2 linked regions of the Anolis sagrei genome follow. The protein of the gene in region 2 interacts with the protein of the main gene of each other region in a biochemical or structural test. Links are inferred from orthologs where the notes say so. Each region holds a gene or a part of one and is shown on either strand. Other genes may lie near its edges.

Region 1 (9,649 bases), on a different chromosome or scaffold from region 2:
ATAGTGGTAGTGTCATCAAAGATTCAAGCATGAAATCTGTTTATTTAGTTACTTACATTCTGCTTCGTGAGCATTCAGCAAGGAAACTGGTATGTCACCTTGTCTCACATCCCAGATACTCAACATACCATCTTGGCTACCAGTGGCTACAATGTGCTGTTGGCTGGGGTGCCTATCTACACAGTGAAGTGGAATCCTTTCCCCCGTCCTGCAAGAAGAGAGCAAGACATACTTTGATGGAAAATCCACAAAGACAGTAGTCAGAGTCCTAGCTGAATAAAATGTCACATACCGTAGTTACAGTGTGACATTTGGCTCTGACAGTGCCCATAAGCTCAGAATGAAGTGCTTACAATGAAAATATTTGTGAAGGCTCATTTCCTTGCTGTCTGAAATCCCATATTTTTAGCTGACCAATGGAATTCACTGTCAAGATTTCTGTTGTGCGAAGTCGAGTCACTGCATGAAGTGTGCTGCTGTCAGCATTGTCTGAGAAATTAAAAGAGACACTCATATCAGTCCTTTTGATTTAAAGCATGCTAGAATTAGTGCAGTAAACAAATAAGCAACTGTAAGGTTATGCCAACTATGTGCCATATACATTTTGAAAATTCAGAGTCCAAAGCTTAAGAGACTCTTAAGGGGAATGCTGATGTTGATTTACCTATTAGATAATACTGTTTACAACTTTGGGAACTGATAGCATTCTCTAAGGAACTCTAACTGGATACGGTTTACAGATATCTAGCAAAGAACTTTCTGTACTTCAGCAAAGAGATAGGGCAGGAGACCTGATCCACCATGTTCAAAAAAGTGTTTTTCATATTACTGGTGTCATATAAATTCACTTTAAAATATTGATACTTCAGGCATGCTACAATAACTTCCCAGGTAAAGACAAATGATTTTATTTTTCCTGCATTTAAGGGGTTCTGCACTGAAGGCTACAACACTATGTTGGAATAATAGTTTAGAACTTTAGTACAGGCATCTTAACTGCCTACCTACAGTACGCACAGCTTCCTTCCGGTCCACTGTGAATACATTTATCCTCCCATCTTCACCAACTGTAAAAATTTCAGGGCTGTTGCAGACAATCCCGGTGCAGGGTGCATTTCCATGAGATGGGTCATAGAAATGTGCATTTTCCCATTTTTGGCTTACAGATAGAGTCTGAAAAACCAAAGAAAAACAATGAAAATGGGCATGTGGAAAAAATGTAATGACCAAGACTTAGAAGAGAGAGACACTGAGAGAGAAAGAGAGTCACGAACACCAGTATTTCCTCCTTGCCTGAATTTGAAGAGGAGACTGTGGGACCCCATGGGAGCTGCCAAAATGGCCTGGGGTGCCTTGTAGCTGGAATCTCAGACAAAGGCAGTAAAAGATGACCTGTGTACAAATGATACTTGTATTCCTAATTATAAAGACAGCCCCACAAACTATCAGGATAATCACTTAAAGGAGCAACCTGAACAAGCAGCCCCAAAGTAGTACCTCAGACTTATCTTGATTGAATTCAATATAGGTTGAGTATCCCTTACTCAAAATGTTTTAGATCTGTTGTTGTTTGCAAATATGTAATGAGATCTTGATGGAACCCCAACCTAAATATGAATTTTACTTATGTGATACATACATCTTATACACACAGCCTGAAGGTAATTCTATATACAAATGTTTTAAATGATGCGCATGAAACAAAGTGCATGTACACTGAACCATCAGAAAGCAAATGTGTCACTATCTCAGCTATGGATAAAGATTATTTTAGATCCTGGATTTCAGAATTTCAGATAAGGGGTGTTCAACCTGTGCTGGCCCTAATTCAGCCCTGCAGCCAGCCACTGATGAAACACATCCACTGATGAAAAAGGAAATGGAGCTGGACATCATCCTTAAATCACTTTAAATCTCTAGATGACCTCACACAACAGTTTCACACAAATGTTGCCTAATCTCAGAAGCTTAGCATAGTTAGGAATGATTAGCACTTGAATAGAGAGGCCAACAGGTATTTCCAGATAGGGCTGGGAGAAATACGCACCTGCAGGGTTGCTGCCAGTTAGTGTTCACAATACTGGGCTAGATCAACTAATTTATATGACAGTGTTATCTGCTCCCTGTGTAATGCAGTGTAATAAAGAAAATGTAGCCCAGAGGAACCTCAAAGCACAAATGCTATGCAAGTGACAAGAAATCCCTCAATATGACCTTTAAAAAATAGCAATCTAAATACAAGCAAAGCCATTGAAAATCTGTATCTCCTACACACAACTTCTCAAAAAAAGATAACAGCACCAATGGCAATTAAAGCTGCTGAGTGATCCAGAAAAATGAATGGAGTCACATTGTTATTGTCTCTCCTGTGGTGGTGGAGAGATAGAAGCAGTTTTATTCACTAGACTAAGCAACTGAAATAGATCTGGAAAAGCCATTTAATATAAGAATATCTTGCTGTGACCTACTTGATCACCTTGCCCACAAACCAACTTTTTTCTGCCTTGTGTTTTCTTGAGAGCAAGGTAATTTTTTGTACAACAGAATAGATGTAAGCAAACCTGATTAATTTACCTGATTATTTTGATGGTGCCGAAAAACAGTCACACTTCCAGTGGATGAAGCAGCTACAATTCTTTCCTGGTCCAAAAACTAAGGACAAAATATTCAGATATGAATTTGTATTGAAATAAAGTATCAAACAGAACCAGTGTCCCATTTATACTGTGTAACTTTAGTGACATCAATAACACAGTGCTTGGAAAGCTTTAAAGTCATTTTATAGCCTTTTACCTGCATATCCATAACATCGCCACTATGTTGAATATCACACAAAAGATGCGGTTCTGCGTTATATTCTCCATTTGTGTTCAAACTTCCCAAGTCTCCAACAGACCAAAAAGACACCTTATTTTCCTATAAGATTACCAAGAGAGAGAGAGAGAATAACAAAAAAGAAAAACAACCAGGATAAGGAAAAGTTACTGCATATGAATCATAGAGTTAGAAGACATCTTGTGGGACATCCAGTCCAACCCCCTGCCAAGAAGCAGGAAATCACATTCAAAGCACCCTCTCCCCCCACCCAGCCTCTGTTTAAAAGCCCCCAAAGAAGGAGCCACAACCACACTCTGGGCCAGAGAGTTCCACTGCTGAACAGCTCTTACAGTTAGGAAATTCTTTCTAATGTTCAGGTGAAATCTCCTTTCCTGTAGTTTGAAGCCATTGTTCCGCGTCCTAGTCTCCAGGGCAGCAGAAAACAAGCTTGCTCCCTCCTCCCTATGACTTGCCCTCATATATTTATACATGGTCATCATGTCTCATCTCATCCTTCTCTTCTGGATGCAAAACATGCCCAGCTTTTTAAGCCGCTTCTCAAAGGGTTTGTTCTCCAGACCCTTAATCATTTTAGTCACCCTCCTCTGGACACACTATTCCAGATGGAATACCAAGGCAGAATAGAGGGGTAGCATGACTTCCCTGGATCTAGACCAGGGGTCCTCAAACTAAGGCCCAGGGGCCGGATACAGCCCTCCAAGGTGATTTACCTGGCCCTCGCTCAGGGTCTGAAACTACTTGAAAGCAAACAACAACAACAACAACAACAACAACCCTATCACATCAGCCAAAAGCAGGCTCACAACTTCCCATTGAAATACTAATGAGTTTATATTTGTTAAAATTGTTCTTCATTTTAATTATTGTATTGTATTGTTTTAAAGTGTTTTTTGCACTACAAAGTGTGCATAGGAATTTATTCATGTTTTTCCCCCCAAATTATAATCCGACCCTCCAACAGTTTGAGGGACTGTCACCTGGCCCTCTGTTTAAAAAGTTTGAGGACGCCTGATCTAGACACTATACTAGAATGGCCTAAACCAGGCATGGGCAAACTTGGGCTCTCCAGGTGTTTTGGACTTCGACTCCCACAATTCCTCGCAGCCTGAGGCTGCGAGGAATTGTGGGAGTCGAAGTCCAAAACACCTGGAGGGCCCAAGTTTGCTTATGCCTCTTCTATATTACAGAATTAATGCATTGGCCCACTTTAATTGCCATGTCTCGGTGCTATGGATTCATGGGAGTTGTAGTTCGGTGAAGGCCCGACCTCTCCCATGGCCTTGCCAAGCTCCACCTCCCAGGCCTCACCTCGTTGTCCCAGGATCCCGTGGCGAAGACCTCCGGGGGCTGGAGGGCAGCGGGAGGGAGGGGCCGCCAGCGGGTCTTGCTGACTTTCTGGGAGACATATCGGGCCAAGACCTCCTCCATGCTTCGCCGCCAGAGACAAGCTCCTTCCTTCCTTCCCGCCGCAGCCGAGGCCCTCCCCCCGGCTTGCATGCGCCCCTTTCCTATTGGACGGCGAGCACCACGTGAGACGGCAACCCACAAAGGTCAATACTCTCTACTGGGAAGGCTGCTGGAACGGACTTTGTTGGCTGTGTTGTCGCAGGCTTTCATGGTCGGAATCAATGGGTTGCTGTGAGTTTTCCGGGCTGTGTGGATATGTTCCAGAAGCATTCTCTCCTGACTTTAATGTCCAGGGTGGGAGAAAGAACTCTTGCCTGCTTGAGGCAAGTGTGAATGTTGCAATTGGCCACTTTGATTAGCATTTAATGGCCTTGCAGCTTCAAAGCCGGTCTGGTTGCTGCCTGGGGATCCTTTGTTGGGAGGTGTTAGTTGGCTCTGATTGATTCTTGTCTGGAATTCCCCTGTTTTTTGAATGTTGCTTTTTATTCACTGTCCTGATTTTTTAAAATAGTGGTAGCCAGATTTTGTTCATTTTCATGGTTTCCTCCATTCTGTTGAAATTGTCCACATGCTTGTGGATTTCAGTAGCTTCTCAGTGTAATCTAACATGGTAGATGTTAGTAGTCCAGCATTTCTGTGTTCTCAAATAATATGCTGTGTCCATGCTGGTTTCTTCAGGAGAGAATGCTTCTGGAACATGGCCATACAGCTTGGAAAACTCACAGCAACCCAGACTCTGTTGGTGTTTTCACCAATTAAGTCTATTCGGAAAGACCAAAACGACAAGGGCTGCAACTACACTGCAGATTTCATGCAGTTTACCTGTCATGAATGACTCAATGCTATGGCATACTGACTGTGAAATGTAGAAGGGAAATAAATTAGAGAGGAGAGGGGTGCAGGAGCCACAAAGGAGGTAATAGAGAAGATGAGCAAGTCAAGAAATAAAGTCTGTTTTTGGACGAGGCCCCATCTATACTGCCATATAACCCAGTTTGAACTGCATTATAATGGTCAGTGTGCACTCCTATAATGCAGATTGAACCACATCGAACTGGAGTCTACGCTGCCATATAATCCAGTTCAATGAAGTTAATCTGCATTCTGAAACTAGATTATATGGCAGTGTGGATAGGGCCATGGACTAACAAGTGGGATGAATGGGAGCTTCTTGGGACTGGCAAAGGCCTTTATGGCATAGTCATATCTGTCCCAATTTGGCAGGAAGGGTCTCGTTTAATTCTATGCTGTCCCATTTTTCTAGCATATTTTTAAGAAGTTTCTCTTTTTTCCCCAGACAGCCACTTAATCCAGAGTTAGGAAGTGGGATTAAAATCTGGTTACCTTAAAGAGAGTCCACACATGAAGTCATTAGTCCTTGGAAATGGTCTCGTGGTGCCCAGAAAGGTTTGGCTAACGTGGAAGCAAGGGAACCGCCAAAGCTACAGGAGAGCTGCCAAAAGTTCTTTCACCTTTTTTTGTTAATGACTCTCTGAGATATGCTGCTCCTCATAAGCATTTTGCCAATAGTTATGAGTGCTAATGCGCTGATGTGGATATAACAAGGTGTACACAAGCAGATTTCTTGTCATCGGGAGAGTTCTTTCCTGAACATGGCCATACAGCCTGGAAAACCCACCGCAACCCAATGATTCCTGCCATGAAAGCCTTCGACAACACATTGTCATTGTCCCTCCTCACCCTCCTGGTGCCTTTAAGTTTGCTCTCTTGAACACTGTTTCCCTTTGGGGTCACTAAGATTACTGTATGACGCGAATTGTATGTGCACCCTAATTTTGGCACGGTAATTTAGCCCAAAAAGGTGAGTGTTAAGACTCAAGTAAATATGGTACAGTATATGCAAAGTTAGGTTTCCATTTGAGAAGAGGTTGTTCTCTACAGATACATAGATACATACATATGTTGCACTTGTTTCCTAAACATAAATCACATTTCCCGAGTTCCCCAAGTGATACTTGGAGCAGCCTTTTATGCAGTACCACAAATTTGTTGTTGTTTATTCGTTCAATCATTTGACTCTCCATGACCTCATGGACCAGGCCTCACCAGAGTTTCCTGTCGGCCGTCACTACCTCCAGCTCCTTCAGAGTCAAGCCAGTCACTTCAAGGATACCATCAATCCATCTTGCCTTTGATCGACCCCTCTTCCTTTTTCTTTCATTTTTCTCCAGGATCATTATCTTTCCTGTCTTCTCATTATGTGGCCAAAGTAGCATACTTCATCTTTGCCTCTAATATCCTTCCCTCCAGAGAGCAGTATGGACTGTTTTGATCATCTTGAGGTCCAAGGCACTCTCAGAATTTTTCCTCCAGCACCAGTACCACAAATACACTACCTATGTTGTGCCATGTCAATGCGGTGTTTGGGAATTGGTTTTTGGGAATTGGAGCCCAAAACACCTGGAGGGCCAAAGTTTGCCCATGGTTGGTATACAGGATAATGTTTAAAATGAGATCTGCAAGTTGGCAACCATTTGAACCCCTTGCATAAAATTATAATTTAATTCAAAATTTAGGTTATGGTTATATATATTTTTCTCTACAGGCCAAATGCATATGTGGGCTCTACATCTGGGACATACAGGGTTTAAGCTTCAAATAACCACTTTAGCTACTATAGTAGAGTCTCACTTATCCAACCTTCACGCATCCAACGCTCTGTATTATCTAATGCAGTCTGCCTAATGCCTGGATCCACAGCTGTTTCAATACATTGCGATGTTTTGGTGCTAAATTCGTAAATACAGTAATTAAAACATAACGTTAGCGTGTATTGAACTGCTTTTTCTGTCGATTTGTTGTAAAACATGGTGTTTTGGTACTTAACTTGGAAAATCATAACATAATTTGACATTTAATAAGCTTTTCCTTAATCCTTCTTTATTATCCAACATTTTTGCTTATCCAACATTCCACTGACCTGTTTATATTACATGTAATATTACAGTATAGTGGTATAGTACAATATAGTAATATATAATGCTAATTTTGTGCTATGCTAATAATATATTGTATACACATATAATATTAATATTATAATGTAATGCAATATAACACTACTACTAATAACAATACAATATAATAATGATATATATTGCATCAAATATTACAGTATGGTGGTATAGTACAATATAGTAATATATAATGCTAATTTTGTGCTATGCTAATAATATAATATATTGTATGTACAAATAACTTGTAAGCCACTCTGAGTCCCCTTCGGGGCAGGGTATACATGTAGTAAATAAATAAATAAAAAGCAAGACTCTATTGTAATACTGTTTCAGAATGCAGATCAACTGCATTGAACTGGATTACATGGCAGCGTAGACTCATATAATCCAGTTCGGTGCAAATAATCTGCATTCTGAAACTACATTATATGGCATAACAACAACAACAACTTTATTTTTATACCCCGCCAACCATCTCCCTGTGGGGACTTAGGGTGGCTTACAAGGGACAAGCCCAACAATTACAAATAAAACACAATCAATTAAAAACATAAGATAACATATGAAAACAATCACAATTGAAAACAACAAGGGTTTTCATTTCATTTATTATCAAGTGCAACAATCAAGTAGACAGGGCTGGGAATAGTGGCATCAAAAGTGTTGAGGTAGGCTGCTAAAAGGGCAGGTGTAAAGTGCTGAACTTAACGTAGGGACAGGGAAAATTACTGGTGGACTGCCTAATCAAAAGCACACCGGAACACCCAGGTTTTTAGTTGTGTCTGGAAAGAGGACAAAGTAGGAGCCTGTCTGATCTCCCTAGGGAGGGAGTTCCAGGGTCTGGGAGTCACCATCGAGAAGGCCCTCTCCCTCGTCCCCACCAACTGTGTTTGAGACAGCAGAGGGAGAGAGAGTAGTGCCTCCCTGGATGATGTCAAGGTGCGCGCTGGTTCATAGAGGAAGATGCAATCGTGGAGATAAGCAGGTCCCGAACCGTTTAGGGCCGTGTTTCTCAACCTGGCGTCCCCAGATGTTTTTGGCCTACAATTCCCAGAAATCCTAACAGCTGGTGAACTGGCTGGGATTTCTGGGAGTTGTAGGCCAAAAACATCTGGGGACCCAAGGTTGAGAAGCACTGGTTTAGGGCTTTATAGGTAATAACCTGCACCTTGAATTGGGACCGGAAACTTATTGGAAGCCAGTGGAGCTGTTTAAACAGGGGGGTGGATTGCTCCCTGTAACCAGCTCCTATAAGTAGTATGGCCGCAGATCTTTGGACCAACTGTAGCTTCCGGGCCGTCTTCAAGGGCAACCCCACGTAGAGCGTGTTGCAGTAATCCAATCTAGAGGTGCCTGGGACATGGACCACCATGGCCAAATCAGATTTAACTTCGTTTGTATACCGCCCTATCTCCCCAAAGGGACTCAAGGCGGGTTCCAACATATAAGGCAAAACATTCCATTGCCAAGAAGTTAATCATTCAGACAGATTAAAATAAAAGCAGCATCAAACACACAAATCCTACTAAAACACAACAATAAGACTCTACTAAGGGCACACATTATTTGGGGGGGGGGGCACCTATATTTAGTTAGGGATCAAGAGCCCCCTTCAAAGACTCTCCCTCCTTCACTTCAGCTCCTTCATCTCCCTCATGTGGTCTGCGAAGGCGCCCCCCGCGCTGTGTTTCCCCGCCAGCTCCTTTGGCGCTCCCCTCTGCGCCTGCGCACACCGGCGGCAGCGGCGGGGGCGGCGGGTGCCCGTCGCGAGGGCCGTTGAGAATGTGGCGCGCGCGGGGGGGCGAGGGAACGGCCCTTCCCTCCGGCGGGCGCGCGGCGGTAGCAGCAGCAGCAACAGCGGCGGCGAGGAGGGGAGGGAGGGCGGCGGCGGAGGAGGAGGAGGCGGCGCCTGTCTCGGCGCTGGAGGTTGTGTCCTTCCTGGGCAAGCTCCTGTGCGCAGTCGCGGCGCTGAAGGCGGCTCTCTACCTGCTCCGCAGAATCTGCCTCGCCATGGCCTGGAAGTCAGGAGGCGCCAGCCACTCCGAGCTCATCCACAACCTCCGCAGTGAGTGAGCGAGCGAGCGAGCGAGCGAGTGCGCGCGCGCCCGGCCCGCCCGCCTGTCTATAGGGATCTCTGTGTGGGTGTCCGCGTGCGCGCTGGCCTCCTGAAGGGGGCGGGGGAGGGAGGGAGAGAAAGAAGGGAGTGGGAGATTGAGAGGAGGGCTGGGGGAAGGAGGGAGTGGCTAGGGCGCGCGCCGGCCATTCATAGGCCATTAGCGCGCGAGCACACACACACACACACACATATATATATACTTCCCCGCGCGCGCGCGCACTTCTCGCACGCGCCACTCCCCCCCCCTCGCCAAAAAAAAAAAACGTCGCTAGGGAGTAGCTGTTGCGTCGTCGGCCCTCGCCTTGGAGGCAGT
Region 2 (9,384 bases):
TTGTGCTTAAAAGGGTGGATGGACAATAAAACTCTAACAGAAATTAAAGGGGGGCCAATGATATCATCCTTGGAGTGCTGGAAAAAATGGCAAGGTAAATTCCCAATAAATAAAGTAGATATACTCCCAGTAGGATTTCTAGACAATAAAAAAGAACAGATATTTGGCAAAGTGATAACAAATGTGAAACAAAATGGAATGAAATTGATAAAAGATCTCCTAAACCCAGATGGGACCATTAAGGATTGGGAGACGATAAAGGAAAAATGTGGTCAATGTAACTGGCTCCTTTGGAATGGATTGGAACAAAGGATCATGAAGTGGAGGAAAAAGGAAAGCCCAGACACAGATTTTGATCGAATTTTAAAGTGGAAACTAGAAAAGGAGAAAGGCCTGGAGGGGTCCATATACAAAAAATTAGTTGGAATTCAATATAATTTGAAACAAGCATTGGTAGAAATATGGAAAGAGGATATAAATAACAATGATTCAGACACTGAACACTGGATCAAATCAATCAAAAATATCAAGTATATAAAGATTAGAGAAACACAAAGGAAAATACTAACTAAATAGTATAGAACCCCAATTAAACTAGCTCACATAACTAAAATAACCGCAAAATTGTGTTGGCACAGATGTCGAAAAATTGGCTCCTATATACATATGTGGTGGGAATGCGACAAAGTACAAGATTTTTATAATAAGGTAAAGAAGGAAATGGAAGAATTAATAGGGCATAAATTGGTTTTGAATAAAAAAAGAATGTTTCACCCAGATATCAGACAAGAACAAAAACATCAAAGCTTGGGGGGAAATTATAAAATATATGATAGTTGCCACCCAAGCAACTGTGGCCTTGGGGTGGAAAGAACATAGAAAGTGGGAAGTTAAAAATGGTATGGTTACCTAGATTTTATGCTTCAGGACTACATCTCTGAAAGAAGAGCCAAAGATACATCATGCCGAATCAAAAAGACCTGGGTTCAGAAATGGGGAAGACTGATAGAAAAGGTCAAAGGAAAAGAAAGATATAAAGAGCTGAACCATTCTCTTTCCACGATTGTTCAATTAAAATAATATTTGAATGAATACAAGTACTGTTCCCAGGGGGTGGGGGGAGTAGTAGAGGGGTGTAAAATCAATAGAAACAAGTGGGAGATAAAGGTGGAATAGATAAGAATAAGAACACTATGAAAACAATATTTGATATATATTCGGAAATGGTGATGAATTGTGATATCATTCTACCTGTGTCTGCAATAAAAACATCTATTTAAAAAAGAGATAAACTTAATAAAGCAATAACATTGTTTTGCCTTGTATTCAGACAAGATGGAGGTGCTGTGATGAGTGGTTCCCATACCTATACTCAGGGGTGTGTGCCTGCATTCACTGAAATTGTTTGAATCCCCACTGAGCTCAGTAATTAGGAGCTTCAGATAATTCAACCTGATCATGGTGGTTCAGAAACTGGTAACCGCAAATCAGATTACTGCAATGCCTCCTATGTAAGTCAACCATTCAAAATGCTTCAGACGTTGCAGCTGGTGCAGAATGCAGCTGCTCACTGACTGACAAGAAAGGGTGATCAACTGGACACAAGGGATGCACTCAAGGATTCATACTGGTTGCTAATGTGCAACTTGGTCAAATTCAAGAGTTTGATGTTTTTGTTTAAGTCATAAGAAAACAACTTGGAACCAAAATACTTAAAGGACTTAATTTCAATGGATATTTTGTGAAGTTCTGTTTGGGAACTCTACAAAAGCAGCTCTTGAGGATCGTTAATGGAGTTCTTCATACAATTATTCATCTACTGAAGAAAGCTTATACGGTATATCTCCAGTTGCATTGTGAGTGATGTCCCAAAAAGTTTCCCATCCAGGTATGGATCATATTGAGCCTATCTAGTTTCAGAGACTAGGGCCCCTTCCACACAGCTGTATAAAATCTACATTGAACTGGATTATATGGCAGTGTGGGCTCAGATAACCCAGTTCAAAGCAGATATTGTGGATTATCTGCCTTTATATTCGGGGTTATATGGCTGTGTGAAAGGGACCTAGATATCCCTTTGAACCAGAAAGCCCATCAAATCTTATTGCAAGCAAAAAAGAAAATACAGCTCACCATTGCAATGTATTTGCTATCATGAATTTGTAAAACACAACAAAAGCTTGTAAGATAGTAACATAATGCCAACCTGCAGATCTAAACAAGGTTTCACACACCAGCATCTCCCCAGGTCCCCACGAAAAGCATAACTGTTTCTTGTCTGAGTTTACTCCAGGAATCAGCTGTTTTTCAAAGAAAATGAGAGGATAGCACAGGGAAACATAGTGACATAGGATATTTACATACAAAAATATACTTTTCAAAAGTACTGGAAATACATACATGGTGGAAACAAAATCAGAAAAGAGGGAAGTACTGTGGTGGCACAGCGGGTTAAACAACTGAGTGGCTGAACTTGCTGACCGAAAGGTTGCAGGTTCGAATCTGGGGAGTGGGGTAAGCTCCCACTGTAAGCCCCAGCTTCTTCATGATGATGGTGGTTGTTGTTGTTGAAGGAGGAAGCCTCCTGGAAGGCTAATGGCTCCAATAGTTTCCCACTACTGTAGATGCAGACATTTACAAGGCTAGCTGGCACAAGCACACACAGGTCTGAATTAAACTAACTTAATTTATGAAGGGAAACATTTATATCCCTTATTGTAAACTGTTTCTATATGTTGTACACCGCCGTGAGTCGCCCTAGGGCTGAGAACGGCGGTCAACAAATGCAGTAAATAAATAAATAAATAAATAATATCCCAACATAAAATTATTTTCCTGTCATTCACTATCTGCCTTGGGGTATGGTGGAAGCTCCTTTTTGGTGGCTATTTGTCAGGGATATTTTGATTGTGCTTTTCCTACATGGGAGGGGGTGGACTAGATGGCCCATGCGGTCTCTTCCAACTCTATCTTTCTATGATTATATTAAACTGTGTCCATCATAGTACTGATGTTGTTTGACAGCACTATAACTGCTCTGGCTCAATGCCAGGGAGTCCTGGGAGTTGTAGCTTTACAAGGCCTCCAGCCTTCTCTGCCAAAGAGGACTGGTGCATCAGCAAACTACAATTCCCAGGATCCCACAGCATTGAGCCTTGGCAGTCAAAGTGGTGTCAAACTGCCTGAACTCTACAGTGTAGATGCATCCATTATTTCTTCTGTTGTTACTGTGAAAGGGCCCCTTGGTGGCACAGCAGGTTAAGCCACTGAGCAGCTGAACTTGCTGACCAAAAGGTTGGCGTTTCAAATCCAGGGAGCGGGGTGAGCTCCCACGTTTAAGCCCAGCTTCTGCCAACCTAGCAGTCTGAAAACATGCAAATATTAGTAGATCAATAGGTACTGCTTCGACAGGAAGGTAATGGCGCTTCATGCAGTCATGCTGACCTTGGAGGCATCTATGGACAACGCCTGCTCTTTGGTTTAGAAATGGAGATGAGCACGACTAGGCTTTATGTCAGGGGAAAACTTTTACCTTTACCTTACCATGAAATTTCCAATGCATCATAATTGCCTGCCACATTTCATGAGTGCTTACTTGCTTGTTGTGTGAGTGATCCTTTGATTCCTTTTCCCAATTGTCAGGGTTTAGAAGGATATTCCAAAGTTGGGAGTACCTTGGTTTTGTCCTCATTTCATCCCTTGAGTCAGCATGAAACATTCCTATCAATTCATTGTTACTTCAACTATTAGTATTATTATTGTTATCATCATTTTCAGCCCAGAAGTTTCCTTAAAAACTCTGTCTCAAAGGGGATCTATACCACAGAATTTAATGCAGTTTGACATGACTTCAACTGCCATGGCTCAGTGCTATGGCAACCCTGGGATTTGTAGTTTGGGGAGGCCCCAGCACTGTTCGGCAGAGGCGGCTAAAGACCCTAAGAAAAGACACTTCCCAGGATTCCACAGCAGTGACACGCCCGTTAAAGTGGTGTCCCACTGCATGCACTTATCCCGCAGGCCCCGCTCCGCACCGTGACCGTGGGCTCCTCGTCCACCTCCTCCATCGCTCTCCTTCCCGGCCGCCTGCCTTCGCGCTTCTCCGCCGCTCAAGCCTTCCTCCCTCTCGCGAGGAGGCTTGGAAAGCAGCCAGCCAATCGCCGTCCTTCTCGGTCAGCCGCGCGCACATTGACGTAAGGACGTTCTCCGCCGCGCAAGCGCATTCTTCCCTCTCCCCGTTCCTGCCCAGAGAGGTAGGAAAAAATATAGACCTATTCACACTATTCCTTTGATATTCCCCTTCTTTCTTCCTCGGGAAGGTGTGACCGTATAGATATGGACCCTTTCTTTCCCCGCCGTTGAGGCTGTCTTCCAAATTGCCTGTTAGAATTATACTTCTCAGATTCTTGAAACGAAGTTCCCAAGGCTAATTTTCTCCTCATACCGTGAAAAACAGGAGAAGGGGAACCGGCACGGTCCCTTCTAAAATAGCTTCGGTTCGATACATGCAGTTCCTTAGAATCAGGCACTCGGCTAGTCGACAAAATAAAAGGACCCCCACCTTTTATTCAGAAAGCTGCATGTAATGCTCATTTCAAGATCGGTCCATCTGTATCTCTAGAGCAGTGGTTCTCAACCTGTAGGTCCCCAGGTGTTTTGGCCTGCAACTCCCAGAAATCCCAGTCAATTTATCACCTGTTAGGATTTCAGGGAGTTGAAGGCCAAAACACCTGGGGACCCACAGGTTGAGAACCACTGGACTAGAGGGTCCCCAGGCAGCAACCAGCCAAGCTTTGAAGCTGCAAGGCCATTAAATTATCATTGTTCTTGCAGCCACTGAATTCTACGCATGCCATGAGTTGCCAAAAAGCCGATTACATGGGCAAATCAAGTCTGAACTCTCTCCAGAAGTCAAGACGGCTGAACACACTGAATATCGTAAAGGCAGCAGATTCTGTCTGATGTTTACTTACTTTCCTGATTTCAGAGTTTTTTTAATACTGGTGGCCAGATCTTGTTCATTTTCGTGGCTATTATCCACATGCTTGTGGATTTCAGTGGCTGCAAGGCCATTAAATTATCATTTCATGGCCTTGCAGCTTCAAAGCTTGGCTGGTTGCTGCCTGGGGGATCCTTTGTTGGGAGGTATTAGCTGGCCCTGATTCATTCTTGCCTGAAATTCCCCTGGTTTTTTTTTTTTTTTTAGTGTTGCTTTTTATTTATTGTCCTGATCCATGTCATACTACACAGAGCAACACTAAAAACAAACAAACAAACAAAAACGGGAATTCCGGGCAAGAATGAATCAGGGCCAGCTAATACCTCCCAAGATAGGATCCCCCAGGCAGCAACCAGCTAAGCTTTGAAGCTGCAGGGCCATTAAATAATTAAGGTGGCCAATTGCAGCATTCACACTGGCCTCAAACAGACAAGAGTTCTTTCTCCCACCCTGGACACTCCACAGATATATAAACCTCACTTGCCTAATTTCCAATAGACGTCATAGCCGCTGAGGATGCCTGCCATAGACGTGGGCAAAATTTCAGAAGGGAATGCTTCTGGAACATGGGCATACAGCCCGGAAAACTCACAGCAACCCAGTGATTCTGACCATTAAAGCCTTTGACAACACAAAGTAAATATAATAAGTATCTGAAGTTTTTTTGGATTTAAAAGGCAAAATCTTCATAAGGCAAAATCTCACAGGAAGAGGATTTTGCTACAGGCGGTTGCTAATAAAACTCCTCCGGTCTGCATGATCAGAGTCCAGTTGCCTCCCTCATTAGAAACCATATCCTAAATTATTTTTTCTGTTTTTGTAGTAACTTAAAACTTAAGTCAACCATTCAGAAATACCGTAGATTTTAAAGCATTAAAGGAAAAGATAATGCAAACTCAGTAAATTCACTGATGGGTGTATAAATATTGTCGTTATTGTTAACTCAGTACATTTAAGAATTCTAGGTGTTCTAGATTTACCTACTAGAATTTTTGGAAAGGAAGGAACATTTTATTGAGGCTGAAACATTTGGAGGAACAATGCCCTCATCCTCCATCTCATAGCTGTGTCAGTTTATCACACTACAGAGTTAAAATTAAATAAAGAGGTGGAATATTTCAACTACCGTATTTTCTGGTGTATAAGACTCCTTTTAAATCCAAAAAAACTTCTCAAAAAGTCAGGGGTCATCTTATACACCGGGAGTCATCTTATAGAGCGGGTGCTGAAACTTCCAATCCAGATTGGAGAATCTGTGGTTGCCGCATATGGGGGGGGGGGGGGGGCTCAAAAATGGCAGTAGCTGCGTCCCTGTCTTATGCAGCGACTGTATGAACGCATTAAGGGCGACGCTGTACAAGTACAGTAGAAGAAAATACATTCATCAGGATTCGTGGACTTAATGTGGTCCCAATGGTGAGGTGAAGGGGCACCTCACCGGGAAGATGTAAGTGAAGGGCAGAGCAAGCTGCAGGCGTCCAGGGTGCCCGGGGTATGGAAAAAAGTGATAGAGTGGCTCTGGGCCCAGAAAAACACAACTCTTTTACCTGTCTGGCTCGCCCTTGTATCCTATTATCGTACCAGTCCTCTGCCTCTCAGATCTCGCTCCTGAAGACTGCAGTGAAGTGCGCATGTGCAAGATCTGAGAGGCAGAGAAGGAGATACAGTAATAGGAAAATTACCATATTGAAATTGAATCTGATTTTTAAATTTTTATTTGGTGTGCATTGGAAGACAGGTAGTCTTATACAGTGAGTATATCCCAAACTCTATATTTTAACTGGAAAAGTTGGGGGTCGTCTTATATGCCCAGTCGTCTTATATGTTGGAAAATACGATACATCATAAAATGTGTCCTGTCAGGTGATGCAATTATTTCGGGGTGTGTTTGGCTGCCCCTAAGCCTCCCATGCATAACACAAACATCAATAGGGAATCCTCCTTTTACTGGATTTTAACACACTAGTTACCAAGAGAGAGAGAGAGAGAGAGAGAGAGATTCAACCATTGTATGAAAGCAATGCAAGAAAAGTGACAACTTTAAATGCCTTTTGTCTTCATTAATAGAAGATAGTTTCTTGCATTAGATTGAATAAGATTGTCCTACTTCAGTGCTGATGAGACACAATTCTTATAGCTAATCAAATGCCTACACAGCATTAGAGGAAAGAGAACACGTTGTGGGCACATCAACACTGCAGAAATAATGCAGTTTGTCACCACTTTAACTGCCATGGCTCAGTGTTATAGAATAATCAGAATTGTAGTTTTACAAGGTCTTTAGCCTTCTCTGTAAACTGCCCTGAGTCCCTTCAGGGAGAGAGGGCAGGTTATAAATATATTATTATTATTATTATTATTATTATTAATAATAATATTATTATTATGCCAAAGAGTGCTGGGGATCTCACCCAACTACAACTTCCATTGTTCTATAGCTTTCAGTCTTGGCAGTGAAAGTGATGTCAAACTACATTATTTTTACAGTATGTGCACCCTGTGAAATAAGGCTCATAGAGGCTGGCAAATCAGAAGTTCCATATCCCTGCTTTACAATAAAGTTAATTATAATGTACTTCTTTTCAACATGCTAGAACTTCAGCCATTCATCAATGCTGATTAGCAGTAGGTGGAGGTCTGAGAGTTAATTCATATATAATTAGCTTATGAGCCTGTGATATTAGTTTAGACAGCTTTCTAACAGGATTGCTTGTAATCTCCCTAAGATATTTCATACATGGTTGATGAAAGTCATAAGATTAATTTAATGCACTGTGGTCTTGGTGAACAATGCAGTACATCACTGCACTTTAAGTTCACTTTAACTGCTTGTTGATAAAATAATTCAGGTAGAGATTGGTGTATTTATAGGCCCCATTTTGATCAAGTGTCTCCTACTTCCTGGAATTCTGGTCTCTGAGTCATAATCTGAATTAGTCAAGACATTTGTCATTGGAAAAATCAGACATAGTCCATTAATAATTTGACACGTTTCCCTAGATGTTTAAAACAATTAAATTATACACCTTTACACTTCACAATCTTGTCTAGTTTTCTCACAGTTGCCCTTCTCACACCCAGGGTGCGTCTACTCTGTAGAATTAATGCAGTTTGACCCCACTTTGCCATGGCTCAATACTGTAGAATCAATCTTGGGAGCTGAAGCTTGGTGGTGTCACTGAACTAGAGCAATTTAGAATGGCTGCGAATAGTGAGATAGCTGATAGCAAAACCTGAAATGTGGATAACTGAAATGTGGAGTCCTAATAAGTGGATACTGGTACCTGCTGCAGGTTGCCCTGTTAGTCTGTGTGCCTGGCAAGTGAAGCTCAACGTTCCTGAAGAAAGCTCACCAAGTTGAAGAAGCCACTGAGGTATTTTATTCAATCAGCTGAAAGTGATGCCAACTTGTGGTTATCTGCCAAAGTAAGCTGAGACACCATTACGGTGAACAGCAGACTTTTTTATACAATACAGTGTTTTGAAATTCCTGCACCTGCCCCAGATGGGCCAGCACCACCATAATTGACTGAGCTCTGATGACACCAGGGAGGATTCCCTGCAGAGGTTGGACTGTGGCATCCACTGGCCAATGGAAGAGTATTCCCTGCTTCCAATGCAGCTGGAGCACTCTCCAATTGTTGGCAGGGGAAACTCCAAAAAAGGAAGATATAGTTTTATGATTGGATTACCTTGTCCCAACATCAGGGACAAACAATGTGGGCGCTTGGGTCCCATGAGTTTTATTGTCTTGGTGATTGTTTTTATGAACCCCGACCTCACGGGCTGATGACTCTGCACCAGTGTCCTTTATATTTCCAAACAGCAAATATTGTTCATGATAATAGGATTATGAACCCATTCCTGAGAAAGGGGCGATGTCATTGTGGAAAACAGGGCATGATTCTCTCCCCATCGGGAGCTGCCATGCCAGGTGATTAGTGTCTTTTGAAATGTCCATGTGGTTGTACAATAAACAGGTGGTCCATCTCCGAAGCCTGTTATCTTTGCACAGCCAGTGGTATGGGTCATAGATGATGGGTGATTGAGTCCATTGTCTTAGGTGATGACTGGAAAAAATGGCTAGAAAGAGTTCCCAGGTCAAGAGGTGCTGATGAAAGGTCACCAAGGTCATGCTGAGTGGCTTCAGTCTCCAAAGTTTTCATCTATCTATCTATCTATCTATCTATCTATCTATCTATCTATCTCCTTTTATTTTTGGGAAGATCAAGACAAGAAACAACTTTGTTTCACAATAACATATAAATAAAATGCACTCAGAGAGGCAAAAGGAGATACATAGAGGCAGAAGTTAAGGATAACACAGTTTATTGGGGGTTAAAGACAATATAATTATTCAGAAAAGGGAGAAATGGATTTAAAAG

The links.
Region 1: the proteins of NUP85 (region 2) and NUP43 form a complex in vitro, tested with the Homo sapiens proteins (2 studies listed by BioGRID). The link is inferred for Anolis sagrei from reciprocal best matches to the Homo sapiens genes NUP85 and NUP43.

What each region holds. Positions count from the first base shown.
Region 1 is NC_090021.1:73,296,492-73,306,140, reverse strand, and holds the start of NUP43 (nucleoporin Nup43), read right to left. Parts: upstream 4,295-9,649; 5' UTR 4,267-4,294; coding exon 4,147-4,266; intron 2,917-4,146; coding exon 2,794-2,916; intron 2,653-2,793; coding exon 2,575-2,652; intron 1,174-2,574; coding exon 1,005-1,173; intron 490-1,004; coding exon 354-489; intron 209-353; coding exon 57-208; intron 1-56. Other genes in the region: PCMT1 (protein-L-isoaspartate(D-aspartate) O-methyltransferase), read left to right, coding at 9,003-9,285. UniProt on the Homo sapiens protein: Component of the Nup107-160 subcomplex of the nuclear pore complex (NPC). The Nup107-160 subcomplex is required for the assembly of a functional NPC.
Region 2 is NC_090022.1:117,259,156-117,268,539, reverse strand, and holds the start of NUP85 (nuclear pore complex protein Nup85), read right to left. Parts: upstream 4,163-9,384; 5' UTR 4,068-4,162; coding exon 4,035-4,067; intron 2,301-4,034; coding exon 2,207-2,300; intron 1-2,206. UniProt on the Homo sapiens protein: Essential component of the nuclear pore complex (NPC) that seems to be required for NPC assembly and maintenance. As part of the NPC Nup107-160 subcomplex plays a role in RNA export and in tethering NUP96/Nup98 and NUP153 to the nucleus.